Arabidopsis thaliana: one gene and its partners. The protein of the gene in region 3 interacts with the protein of the main gene of each other region in a pairwise test. Each region holds a gene or a part of one and is shown on either strand. Other genes may lie near its edges.

Region 1 (4,803 bases), about 17 Mb from region 3:
GGATAGAATATGGATTCGTCCTAAACCACTCTTTGGTGTTATTCCTCACCAAACTTTCACAGAAAAGCCAAGAAAAGAAAGAATTTGATGCTTTCTTTTTAACTTTTTATCCCCAAGAAGTAACGTTTACAATTCATTGGATACAAAAAAAGAAATAAATCCCATAAAGGAAGAAAAAGAATCGTAATAATCCACAACCACAATGGTGGGTTTACCTTTTATGTGTCCCCAGTGGAAATCATATAGATAAAGAAAATAGTAGTTTTATTTCTATTTAAAAGACCCCAAGATTTACGCCTTATTAGGCAGAATTCATTCAATACTTTGAATACCTTATGATGGCCCATGTCTTTTGCTTTCTTTCAACTTTGATGAACATTCAACTAAATCATTGTTTTTCTACACTATTGCATGACAACTTTTTGTTTTTATATTGAATTTTCAGGCTTTCAGTTTTATTTTAGATGATTAATCACACAATCCAGATTTTTTTCATGGCACAGAACCGGAGTGGTCCAAGAAGGTTTCAAAAAATACTTAAGCATGCCTTGGACTACATCCTAATGAGATACAATTCATCAATCTTGTTGACGTCAGAGAACTGCATCTAAATCTGTCTGTTATTGGGCTTTTCTCAATGATAAACAATATCTGTATGTATGTTATTGGGCTTTCCTCAATAGTAAATAAATTCTGTATGTGTGTTATATAGGCTAAGCCATATGGCCAATGTGTACAGAGTGCACAAAAAAACATTGTAATATATACACAGGGCAGAGAATCTTACACTGAAAACATCGGCAACAACAAACACAAATGTGAAAAAAGGTAAACGCACCCATCTGTTTTGTTCGGTCACCTGAGTAGTTAACCTCAATTTCTCATCCGCTTCATTGTGTTTATGTTAATCCCCATTTCGATCAACAACCCATCTTGTAAGCCCAGACGTGTTTTTCTAGATATGCTGCCACTGCCTCTTTGATAGCCAGATTTGGAACGAGATTAGCCGGGTCGATTTTTTCACGAGTTATAGGATCAAACTTCCCCACCTATCAAGTGGTGTAAACGATCAAACCTTAACAGGAATGAGGAATATTTTTTATAGAGATTAAGGCTACAAGAAAAGAGCGATGATAATGCAAACCTTCTTGAGATGTTCAAGGATTGCTGCTCTTTCATATGTAACCCCACTTGGAGAAATTACAGGATCTCGGAAAATCTCAAGAGTTATATTGCAACATAAATAATCTGGCACCTGAAAAGAAAAACCAGAAATGTATTTGACCTCAAATATAAATGAACGATGGGTCTTAAAAGCTTTTAAAGAAAATTTAATGCACCTCAGTTGGTTTATCTTCTTCTGCAGCTTTCTTAAACACTCGTTCAAGAGCTTTCAAACGCTCAGTATGGGCAGTATATGCTTCGTCTGAGGACTCTTCTGTTCGAGACATATCTAAAGCACGTTGTTGATTAAGAGCAGCCTCACAAGTTTCCCTAACACAAACATGAATAGTTCCATAAAGCCACAAAAGCACAGTTCCAAGTCGAATGATAGCACTGGATTAAGAAAGTTACAGAACCTACTTCAAACTATTCAGTTCCCATGACCGCATTGCAGAAACCAGTTCCCACTCCATGTATTTTGCTTTAGAAAGCTCTTCCCATATTTCTTCTACCATATATCCTGTTGGATTCGAGCATCTTCCAAGATCTAAAGCCTATATGAAACGTAGCTACATGAAGTTAACAGGAAACAGGTATCAAACCAAAATTTGTTTGCAGTATTTGATGGCATAAACAAACCAACCCATCTCTAGTGATTTTTCTAACTAAAACAAGTGTCCACAGTATCCACTTAGACATCTTTCAAAAGGAAAAAGATGGAGATTCAAGTGGTGCCTCACATCTTCATTAAGATGCTTGGAAACTACACTACTTAGGTCTCAACGTTACGACTTAAACAATCATGTCCACTGATAAATTTTACAGAAAAAAGCTTAGGACTAACAAAGATCCTTACCCTTTGCAATTCTTTGACTCCATTAGTAAATTCTTTCTTCTGCAATAATGCAAGTCCTAGCATGTAGTGTGCCTGCCACAGAACATAATTGTAAAATCCTCATATGATGGAGAAGAAAGGATCAAAGAAGGCCAAGAAAAGATAAAACAAAACAAAAAACTTGACATATTCCATACATAGCACACCAAGCAAAAGAATTCCATTTAGATATAATCAAAAGAGTCAAACCTTGACGGAATTGTGGACAAGCTGAATAGCTTTGCGACAATCCTCTTCAACCTTAGTCCAATCCCTAAATTTGATGCAAGCAAAGAAGCCAAACATGAACCATAAAGTATTTGGGCATTAGGATTGCCTAATCAGAAGTATGTATAAAATTTGCTTGACAGAACAATACTCACTTTCGCTTCATGTGGCAAAGTGCTCGATTGGTCCAATAAGCAGGAACATTTGGAGACAAAGCTATTGCCTACTCAATTACACAAAAAAAAAATGATAAGAAAAACCACTACAATTGAATAAGCCTGAAGTTTCTTGATGACTTATAACGATGAGCACATAAAAGATTCATAAATTCCATCAAATGTCTATTCTCGAATTGTACACTCCATCAAAACCTAATTTGGATGCAATTAAGTTCTGATTCACAAACGAATTGTCCAATTTCGAAATTATAATCAAGGGTTTATTACTCTACGCAGATCTCAATCAAAATCTCGGAAAACACAAAACCCTAACGATGAAATTGAGAGAAGGAGAGTGAGAACCATGTACCTCGGTATAAGCATCAATGGCAGCACCAAAACGTTCTTTCTTAAAGCAATTGTTTCCGTCTTCCTTTAACCGCTCCGCCATGGCGGAAGCCACGCCTGTAACCATATCTACGGCACCCCAGAAAACCAAGTCTTTATCCTTTCCAACACTCCTCTGTAACTTGTGCGACGGCGCGTCCCGGTGCGTTTCAGAAGAGAAGTAGCCGCGAAATTTCTCGATGAAAGGAGAGAGAAAAGTAAGCAAAAGGGAATTTTAAATGAATCGGTTATCGAAAGAGATTAGTCTCTTTACCGGGTCAGCTCGATGAGACTTGGATCATAATCCGGATCTTATAGTCATTCTTTTTGTTTACTACCATAAACCGGTCATTGGGTTAATTGTAAATTATTTATACAACTAGGATTAAACCCGCGGTTTCCCGTCGCGCGAAGGCTTTTATAAATTTTTTATTAAATAAATTAGTGTGTGTTATATTAAAAAATAGTAACATATATTTAGTTTTTTTAAAACTGGTATAAATAATGATTGGAATCTTTTATTAGTATGGAGACTATTTACTGATTAGAATCATGTATTTTATTGTGTTTAAAGTTGTGTATCAATTACTAAATGTGTATTTGATATAAGTAAAATGGTGACAAAAATATAATATAATGATAGATGGTGTAATTATTTTGTTGATTATAAGATCTTTAAAAACCAAAGTTGGTATGTTTTATCTTTTATTTTTGGCAAAACAAAGATAATAACATTTATGAGGAGACCTTTTTTCTAAATCATACAGAATATTTATACTAAAGAGTATTTTGAAGCTGTATTAATGATCCCATTACCCAAATTATATGATACAATAAAAGAATATACCCCCAAAAGAAAACAATGCAAAGTAAATCATCTTAACACCTAATTCTTCTTTCTAAAGATTGATTAGATTCACTATTCATGTTTTTCATCTCTTCATTGTCTTGTCCGTAGCAGCCGATCACCAATCGTTCTCAACTCGAACGTTCTCACAGCAAGGCCAACATCACGGATTGTAGTGTCTAGCACATAAGGAGTGCGTGCTCGCGGCGCTGAGAGATCGAACCATGGTAATGGAAGTAACGGATTTTGCTCTCAGCCTTGTGCTATGTCTTCCCTTGTAGATTCTGAGACATGTGTACGCCTATCGCGAATACATTCTCCGGCTGGACCGCGTATTTCCGATCCCGTCTTGGAACCTTCTTGACGTCTCTATATGCCAGTTTCTCAATTCCCCATTTTCTGAAACACAAAACCAAAATACCATTTAGATTAGTCCCTGAACTAAACCAAATCAATAACCGATATGTTCCCTCCTAAAAACAGAAAATATACAAACCAATTACAATTCAATATTTGGTACAAACAAAAGAAATAATCTTTACAACATTTCTCACTAATATCATGTGATGTTCAATAAAAGCAAAGATCGTGACCGACATAGGAGACTAATACAGAATGCACAAAGACTTTTACAGGCCAAGTGTTGACAGAATCAGATGCTTATTGATATTATATGTCACCTTCAAAAAACTTGTGACTAATATTCTAAGTCACTCAATAAACAACACATGGGCTTTGGTTAACGTTCAATCATTAAAATCAACAAAGTTATGAATGTTACCTGTAAGTTCTGGCCGGGCCATCACCGGAATAACAAACCTGACTACTCATAGGCATCAGTTCAATAGTAAACTGAAAATATTCCTCCAAAGATTCCATCACAGACGAAATCGTCTCTTTCACCGGAACATGTAAAAACTCATCAACATCAACGAAGAACATCCACTTCGTCATGAATACTTATGCAAACAATCATTCACTATCATGAATTGATTATGATAATAACCATCGAATCGTTCTTGATCTCAATTTGGTTTGTGATGAGAATGACTTTGATATTTATAGTGATGAAGGAGGCTAGGGTTGTTGGATCTAATATTTTCAAAAATATTCGAAAATATCTTGCAGGATAAGTTGCAAATCAA
Region 2 (3,858 bases), on a different chromosome or scaffold from region 3:
GATAAGTTTTTTGTTAGAAGGACACATAATTGGGCTGAAAGTAATGCCCGTACCCAAATCAAGTGAGCCTTCATAAATGGGTCGATAGATATACATTTTCCAAGTAAAACCAGCGCTTTTGGAAATCGACTGAATCTGCATATAAAGTTTATAAACTTCGACTATGTATCTGATTTTGTTTGTTCGAACTTTGACTTTAGTTTCAAGCGAAGACTAAAATTTATTGGTATTGGTTCAATTGGTAGACATATTGATTTTATCAACAGAACCCGGTTAGAGAACTTGTTTAAATTATATACTTAAATCAACTACAAGGATATCAATGCCTAGTAATACTCAAAAATAAATTTGAGATTTAAAGCAGTATGGGACGATATGCAAGTGATTGACAATATTGCCAAGCTAGTAAGTATATTTATAGACTACGTGATTGTGATTAAAGTTCCAATTATTGGTATTTAGATTTGTCGAATATAGATTACAAAGTAAAATAATATATATTTTTCTTTAATTTACTTATCTTGAAAAAGCAGCAAAAGTTTTATTTATTTATATGAGATGCAAAAACATTACACGATATGAACTATACTGCCTTGACAAAATAAAGGAAGATACAAAAGAAAACTATGAATCGTGGGGCCTATCACATTTACATATCTACCAAAAGACATGTTCCTTAAAATGTGATAGATCCACGCAAATCTTTTGTAAGAGAAGATAAAAAACCGATAGAGAATCGAGACGTAAACCTAAAACGGTTTTAGTTCGATAATGAAATCCACATGATTTCAATTCCGCAATATCTGGAGTATTAGTTAAGCCCATTTGGCGATAATCGACATTCCACCGCACCCGAGAAGAGCCGCGATTAAACACTTGAACTGCATTTTGATGCTACCTTGAAGCTTAGGTCCCATGAACTCCGCAGCTAGAAGATCCACGAGTGCCATGTAAATGAGCAATCCAGCGGAGCATGCATTTAGAAGTCCAACCGTGATCAAAGCTTTTGGGCTATTATCTTGGTAAACAGTTGATAGAGCGATCCCTAACGCTATTCCGAATGGTGTTGTTACCGCGAAAAAGAACGCCATAACAAATTTCTTCATATTTGTATACTCAGCCTGAAATTATCTTAAACATTAGATGTTTCATATTTGTATATACAATTTCAACATTTGGCTAAAGATAATTTTTTTTCTTTTATCTAAAGTATATTTACCTGGAGGATACAACCGCCAAGACCCATGCCTTCGAACATTTGATGGAAGCAAAGAGCTGCTATAAGTCCTTTAATGGTGCAAGTGTCACTAGTTGCTCCTAGAGATAATCCAATGACCACCGAGTGAACTATGATCCCAAGTTCCAAGACCTATATATCCGTAGAAAGTTAGATATACCTATGTATTCGGTAATATGTCATTTAAAATACAATGATATTCGGTATGTATATATGTGCGTACGAACCATGGCAATGACTCGGTATCGCAAGAGCTGTGCATTTGACGAATCATCTTCTTTTATTGGTAAGGTAACATCATTTGCGGGGCCGTGACCATGACCATGACCATGGGGCATGATACCAACTGCGTTCTTGCTGGTGTATAGGCTCGTGGCCATGGAGTCAATGGCTAGAGTGATTAGACCCGATAACATAGCGAGAAATCCGGAGAAAGGAAATTTATGCCACGGGTTCTCTTCAAGACATATAGATGACAACATTTCGAAAGAATCAGGTAAAACGTGCATAAAACCGGTTCCAAGGATGATCCCGGAGGCGAAACACTTAATGATAGTGAAGATGTTTCCGTCTGGTTGGAGGAACGAAACGTTACGGCTAAAGAGAGGAGCTCCAACACCAATCATGCTTGCAATGAGGATTACGAAGATTGCTATGACTTTGAGAGGCAAAGCTTTAGCTTTGTTGACGCACGGGTTCGCTGACTCGCTTCCACATTCTTCCGGCGCAGTTGAAGTTGCTGGAGAGATTGCAAAAGAGACAAAAATGAGTACGAGGAAGATTGTTTTCATGAGAAGTGCTGAATTTGAAGCCATTTTTTTTTTTTTTCTTTTTTCTTTTGGATTGTTGTGTGTTTAGATTGTTTAATGTTTGTGTGACTTTGGACTTACTAGATGAATCGGTTTATATAGTAATGTGTGCTGGTTGTTTTCATGCCATTTATTGTCGATGATGACGAAATTTTATTTGATTACTCGTTTGCTTCCAGTGTGAAACGAGAAAATAAAGTAATTAATCGTTCAAAAGGAATAATGATAGAATTATGAAAGTACCTAGCTAGATTTTATTAAGTTGATAGAAAATGCATTTAAACGATAATATAAACTTAATAAAATGTCTTAAATTTGCATATTATTATATTGTACCAATCACTTATGTAAAGTTCTTTTATCCAAAGAAATATGACTCAGTGACAATTTATTTTGTTTAAAATCCATAGTATGATTTTAAAAAATTAAGTATATTTTAAAGTATATTTTATTTAAAAAATTTAAGTATATTTTATTAAAAAAATGTAAGTACATTTTATTTCAATCAGTTTTATCAAGTTATAGTTTCGTAAACATTCGAGTTTTTAAATTTGAAAAAGGCTATATTGGAATTAAGGTTTATATTATCGTTTGAATGCATTGTTCATGCCGTTTGCAGACCGCTTGAAGTCAACCCCATGCGTCTTCTATAGTTCTGTTAGTCAACTCTCACAAACGTTTACTTTTTAATCTTGTACTATTTTTAACTTTAAGCTTAATTAGGTTTATACTTTATAGTTTATGCTACGAGCACAACATCACACGTGACAGCTTGTGCTCAGTGTATGGTTGCAATCCAGTCACCAAAAACACTACATATGAATGTAGATTCCTCCTCCTTTATTCGGTAAATAGATTCCTCTTTTCATAGCTTGATGTCTAGTTTTCAAAAATGACATACATATAAGTCATTTTTCATTTTTGAATTGATTTTTTTTCAAGGTTTAATAACTAAGAAACAACTAAGTTTTTGGGAAAGGATAATGACAAATAGAATTCCATGAAATCGGGTATGAATGTTTAATGTGTCAATCCATGTGCTCCTAAAAAAGGGACATCTAGCTATGAACTTACGCATTTTTACATGAACATATAGTCACTGACTTCATTTATAAGATTATGGGGTTATTGACTTAATGATTATTGGTTTTATGGTTATTAATCTAGTTATCTTTTAGGTAAGGTATTAAGATATTTCAATGTTATAACTGTATACATAATTTCATGTCTATTAGGATTTATGAGTTCTTTTGATTCTCATGTCGTTTCGAAATAATCTTTTTTTTTTTGGTTTTGCATGGTTATATAGAAGAAGGCATAATTAATTTGATTGATTGTCATGCAATTAATCATCAGAATCATAGAAAAAATAGTTGACACAAAATAAATTATAGAAAATATAGTTATCTACATTATCCTGTATATTCAATACTGTCCATGCCGAGTATGTATCCAATATTCCATGGCATGCCTCCTAACTAGTCAACTTCGGTTATAATTTTCACTATTTAAGTTTTATTTCTTTGAAGAATGATTAATAAAATAAGCATCAAACTGGATTTATAATATAGTTTTTTTAAAGGTATAATATTATTAGTTGAGTGGTTTACCTCCCACGTTTTCATATGGTTGGACGAGCACGAAACAAAACGTGCCAAACTCATACTCCACCGACGTGACAAAATGCTTATATGTCTATTCGTTAACTTTGATACAGAAAATAGAATGAACTTGGGGAGATTTTCCATATTGGTGAAATAATTTTCTTTTTTCGGTCGAGAAAAGAAATATTTTTTAATTTGTGTCAATGTG
Region 3 (3,699 bases):
CCGGGACTGACGCCAAGGAGAGGATGTACAAACCATCGTTTGCTGGTTTTGTGGATGTCGGTCTCCTTGACGGAAAGATCTCTCTAAGGAGTTTGGTACGTCACAAACTTAAATCATTTTACTGAATATTACTCTTGTATAGAGAAGCAAATAGGTAACATAATTGAGTGAATTTGCAGATTGATCACTCGGTTGTGGAGAGCTTTGGAGCAAAAGGAAAGACAGTGATAACATCTAGAGTGTATCCGACAAAAGCAGTAGGAGAAAAAGCTCATTTGTTTGTCTTTAACAACGGCTCACAACCTGTGACCGTAGAGAGCCTCAATGCATGGAACATGCAGAAGCCTCTGAAGATGAACCAAGGTGCAAAGTGATCACATCATTCTTTAATTTTTTCGTTGACAAATTTAATTCATTCGTTAAAACAGAGAGTCTGTCACAATATATTGTAGAAAAAAGGAACCTATTGTGTTTCTTTTACAATCAATACAATTTGTACATAGTTTATCACTACTAACAATGTATTGATCTTATATTTTATTAATGAAACACGTCTCCTAATCACATAAACGGTCATTATTTCACGATACTTGTATAGATTGGAATTAAGCAAGAATCTTCCGTAATCGATTCAGAATAATAGAAAACCAAATCCTTTTACTGACATTATCTTTTAACATAGAAAGTCACTGAAACAAGAAAAACAAACCCTATCAAAGGGAAGACAACAAAAAAAAGCAAGCAAGAGATGGGATTCTTGATAAGAGTCTCTCTACTTGATCTTCTTCTTAGGCCTCAACTGCAAATAAAAAAAGTTTGTTCAGATATCATTTCAGCTGATAAACACCAAAAAGAAACAAGTAACAAAAACAAACCTGGTTGCTGTGACCACACTTCTTCTTCCTGCAGTTGACAGCTCTTGGGTGAAGACGAGCATAGCACCTACCAAAAGATGCGAAATTTACATTAGAATAATCTCATTGAGACATCAGATCGGACCATAGATGACAAACTATCCAACAAACAAGATGTTTCAGCAATCAAAAATACAAGCTTCAACACATTTTCAAAACCATTTGCAAAAATGTACCATTCAAGAAAATCATCTGGAAAGATGAGAAATTTGACCAGCTGACAAAGTTTAGAGAATGGAAATGTTTGATATTGGGAACATTTATAACCTCAACACGCATTGTATAAGGCTTGAGAAGCTAAGTTAATTCCCATTAAAACAACTAAAACCCTAACACACTAATAAACATTTGGTACTTTGAACTATTAATCAACAAAACTACAATCTTAGGGAGAAATTGAAACTTACTTGCGGCAAATCATCTTATCCTGATTGTACTTACGAGCAAGCATCATCAAGGAAGGCTCAATAATACCTCCTCTAAGCCTCAACACAAGATGAAGTGTAGATTCTGTTTACAAATGATAACAATCCATTAGAGTTTATACAATCAGATCATCGAAATGATCAACAGAAGGATTCGGATGATTTCGTACCTTTCTGGATGTTGTAGTCAGCCAAAGTACGGCCATCTTCGAGCTGCTTTCCGGCGAAGATCAATCTCTGCTGATCCGGAGGGATTCCTTAAAGGAGAAACAAGTAAATGATAAGAGATCTGAATTTCAAAAAGCTAAAGAGAAGAATCCAGATTGAGTGAGGAAGAATGATACCTTCTTTGTCTTGGATCTTGGCCTTGACATTGTCGATGGTGTCGCTGCTCTCGACCTCGAGAGTGATGGTCTTGCCGGTCAAGGTTTTCACGAAGATCTGCATCTTTTGTGTTTCGTCTTCTCTCACGTAGAAACCCTAAACAAGGAGGAGGCGGGTTTATATATGTCAATGTACGCGTCTAGGGTTTTGCTAATATTGGGCTAGGTTACAGGCCTTTACCACAAAAGGCCCAGCCCACTTTCCAAATTTGCATTTCTACCTTATGCCTTGAGATTTGAGTGGGCTTTTAAGATAACATTTTAGATATCTCTCTCATTAAAAGACCACTTCTCGTTAGTCGAAGGTTTCATATGCACAAAACCTATGAGATTGTTGGATCTTGGTCAGGGTCTGATACATAGAGTAGCTATAACAAATCGTTTCTATCATTCCCAAGGTCCAAAGACACTACATGATTCTAAGATTTATTTGTCAAAAATTTCACCTTCTTGCTGATGATGAGGCGATTGACAAGAGCTAACCAAAAAACAGATCCAAACTTAGCTAAGTCTAAGATGGATATTATTAGATCCGGATAAACCGGAAGAAGGTCCGACAAAACGGAAAAGGAGATCCGATCTAAATCGGAAAACGAAATATGTTACAAAACAAAAAAAACAAAGATACATTCCGGTCAACCGGAAATCGAACTTTTTCTCTCTAAAAGATAAAGGTGAGATAAGAGAGAGAAAGTTTGTTTTCTAAAATTCTGTAGTCTATGTTCAATTTGTGAAATATCCCGGGATATTACAAAATTACAACCAAATAAAAATATTTTATCAACTCCAATCAAAGATTTGGCACCTAAGACTTTACAAAATCATACAGCACAAATTCAAGGTTTTTTTGTGAGATAAAATGACTACCAATTTTTGAATATCTTATGGTCATACAGAAAAAGATCCAAAGCTGTTCAGAGTTGAGACTATAACAAAGCATAGTAATTCCAAAACTCTTTTCAAACTAAGAAAAAACAAAATGAAACATTGAGAAAGCTACATAAGGAGATCCAACGAGAGGCCAAATAACTCAGAGCCTCCTTCCTCTTCTTCCACCCTTTCTGCGGGTACTGTCGGTTGGGATTGGAGTCACATCCTCTGAGGAAAACAAGAACAATGTCAGAGATTTATTCAATCAAAGATGCAATTAAACAATTACAGTTGAAGATTGCTGCTGTTTTACCAATGCGACCAATTTTCATGCCAGAACGGGCAAGGGCTCTTAGAGCAGACTGAGCACCAGGTCCAGGGGTCTTGGTCTTGTTACCACCAGTGGCACGGAGTTTCACATGTATGGCAGTGATTCCAAGTTCCTGTGTTGCATAAATATATTCACCAAATCGATTAAATATAGAAACATAAAAGATTATCAAGTTGTCTGCTTGGTAATGCAATTTCTTTGCCTTTACCTTGCATCGCTGAGCAACATCTTGTGCCGCAAGCATAGCAGCATAAGGTGAGGACTCATCTCTGTCGGCTTTCACCTTCATTCCACCTACAGAAGTAGGAAATCGAAACAGCAATTTTAGCAACCCATTGTTATTTAAGAACAATGCAATTTCCAAACAGATAAACAAAAGGAATTCCTCAAAAGTTAAACGAACAAAGACTAAAGACACTTCAGCTCACACCCTATAGAGAAGACCATAATACTAATAACAATGGTAACTAACTTAGTTCTATAAGCAGGAACATTGATGCCGTCAAGAACAAAGCAATTTCTATAAAGATATCAACGGATTCCTCGAAAAAACTTAAAAGAGCAGATACTAAGCAGAACCTTTAGGCAGTCAAGAACTTCATTTCACACTCAACAGAGACTACCGCATACAAGTTAACAAAGGGATCATCACCAAAGGATTAGAGAGTGAGAGTTGAAAGAGATGATTACCAGTGATGCGAACAAGTGTTTCCCGTCCAGACAAATCAGTCACGTGCTGCAATTGCAGATATAAGAAGTTCAGAAATGTACATAAA

Evidence for each region.
Region 1: the proteins of UBQ1 (region 3) and CHIP interact in a two-hybrid assay, tested with the Arabidopsis thaliana proteins (one study listed by BioGRID).
Region 2: the proteins of UBQ1 (region 3) and IRT1 interact in binary tests that used the Arabidopsis thaliana proteins (3 or more experiments, as listed by UniProt).

Annotation. Positions count from the first base shown.
Region 1 is NC_003074.8:2,357,403-2,362,205, forward strand, and holds CHIP (carboxyl terminus of HSC70-interacting protein), read right to left. Parts: upstream 3,148-4,803; 5' UTR 2,900-3,147; coding exon 2,795-2,899; intron 2,490-2,794; coding exon 2,422-2,489; intron 2,313-2,421; coding exon 2,249-2,312; intron 2,093-2,248; coding exon 2,021-2,092; intron 1,719-2,020; coding exon 1,585-1,718; intron 1,495-1,584; coding exon 1,341-1,494; intron 1,256-1,340; coding exon 1,145-1,255; intron 1,050-1,144; coding exon 921-1,049; 3' UTR 505-920; downstream 1-504. Other genes in the region: AT3G07380 (glycosyltransferase family protein (DUF23)), read right to left, coding at 3,922-4,057, 4,440-4,612. UniProt on the Arabidopsis thaliana protein: Has E3 ubiquitin-protein ligase activity and may target misfolded substrates towards proteasomal degradation. Regulates the activity of some serine/threonine-protein phosphatases by E3 ubiquitin-protein ligase activity.
Region 2 is NC_003075.7:10,705,681-10,709,538, reverse strand, and holds IRT1 (iron-regulated transporter 1), read right to left. Parts: upstream 2,196-3,858; 5' UTR 2,053-2,195; coding exon 1,465-2,052; coding exon of another isoform or gene 1,417-1,464; exon of another isoform or gene 1,380-1,416; intron 1,370-1,379; coding exon 1,220-1,369; intron 1,122-1,219; coding exon 816-1,121; 3' UTR 524-815; downstream 1-523. UniProt on the Arabidopsis thaliana protein: High-affinity iron transporter that plays a key role in the uptake of iron from the rhizosphere across the plasma membrane in the root epidermal layer. Acts as the principal regulator of iron homeostasis in planta.
Region 3 is NC_003074.8:19,503,755-19,507,453, reverse strand, and holds UBQ1 (ubiquitin extension protein 1), read right to left. Parts: upstream 2,076-3,699; 5' UTR 1,787-2,075; coding exon 1,684-1,786; intron 1,597-1,683; coding exon 1,510-1,596; intron 1,425-1,509; coding exon 1,322-1,424; intron 1,125-1,321; exon of another isoform or gene 1,083-1,124; intron 943-1,082; coding exon 876-942; intron 800-875; coding exon 773-799; 3' UTR 522-772; downstream 1-521. Other genes in the region: CWINV2 (cell wall invertase 2), read left to right, coding at 1-95, 180-374; AT3G52580 (Ribosomal protein S11 family protein), read right to left, coding at 2,753-2,820, 2,906-3,035, 3,132-3,217, 3,614-3,659.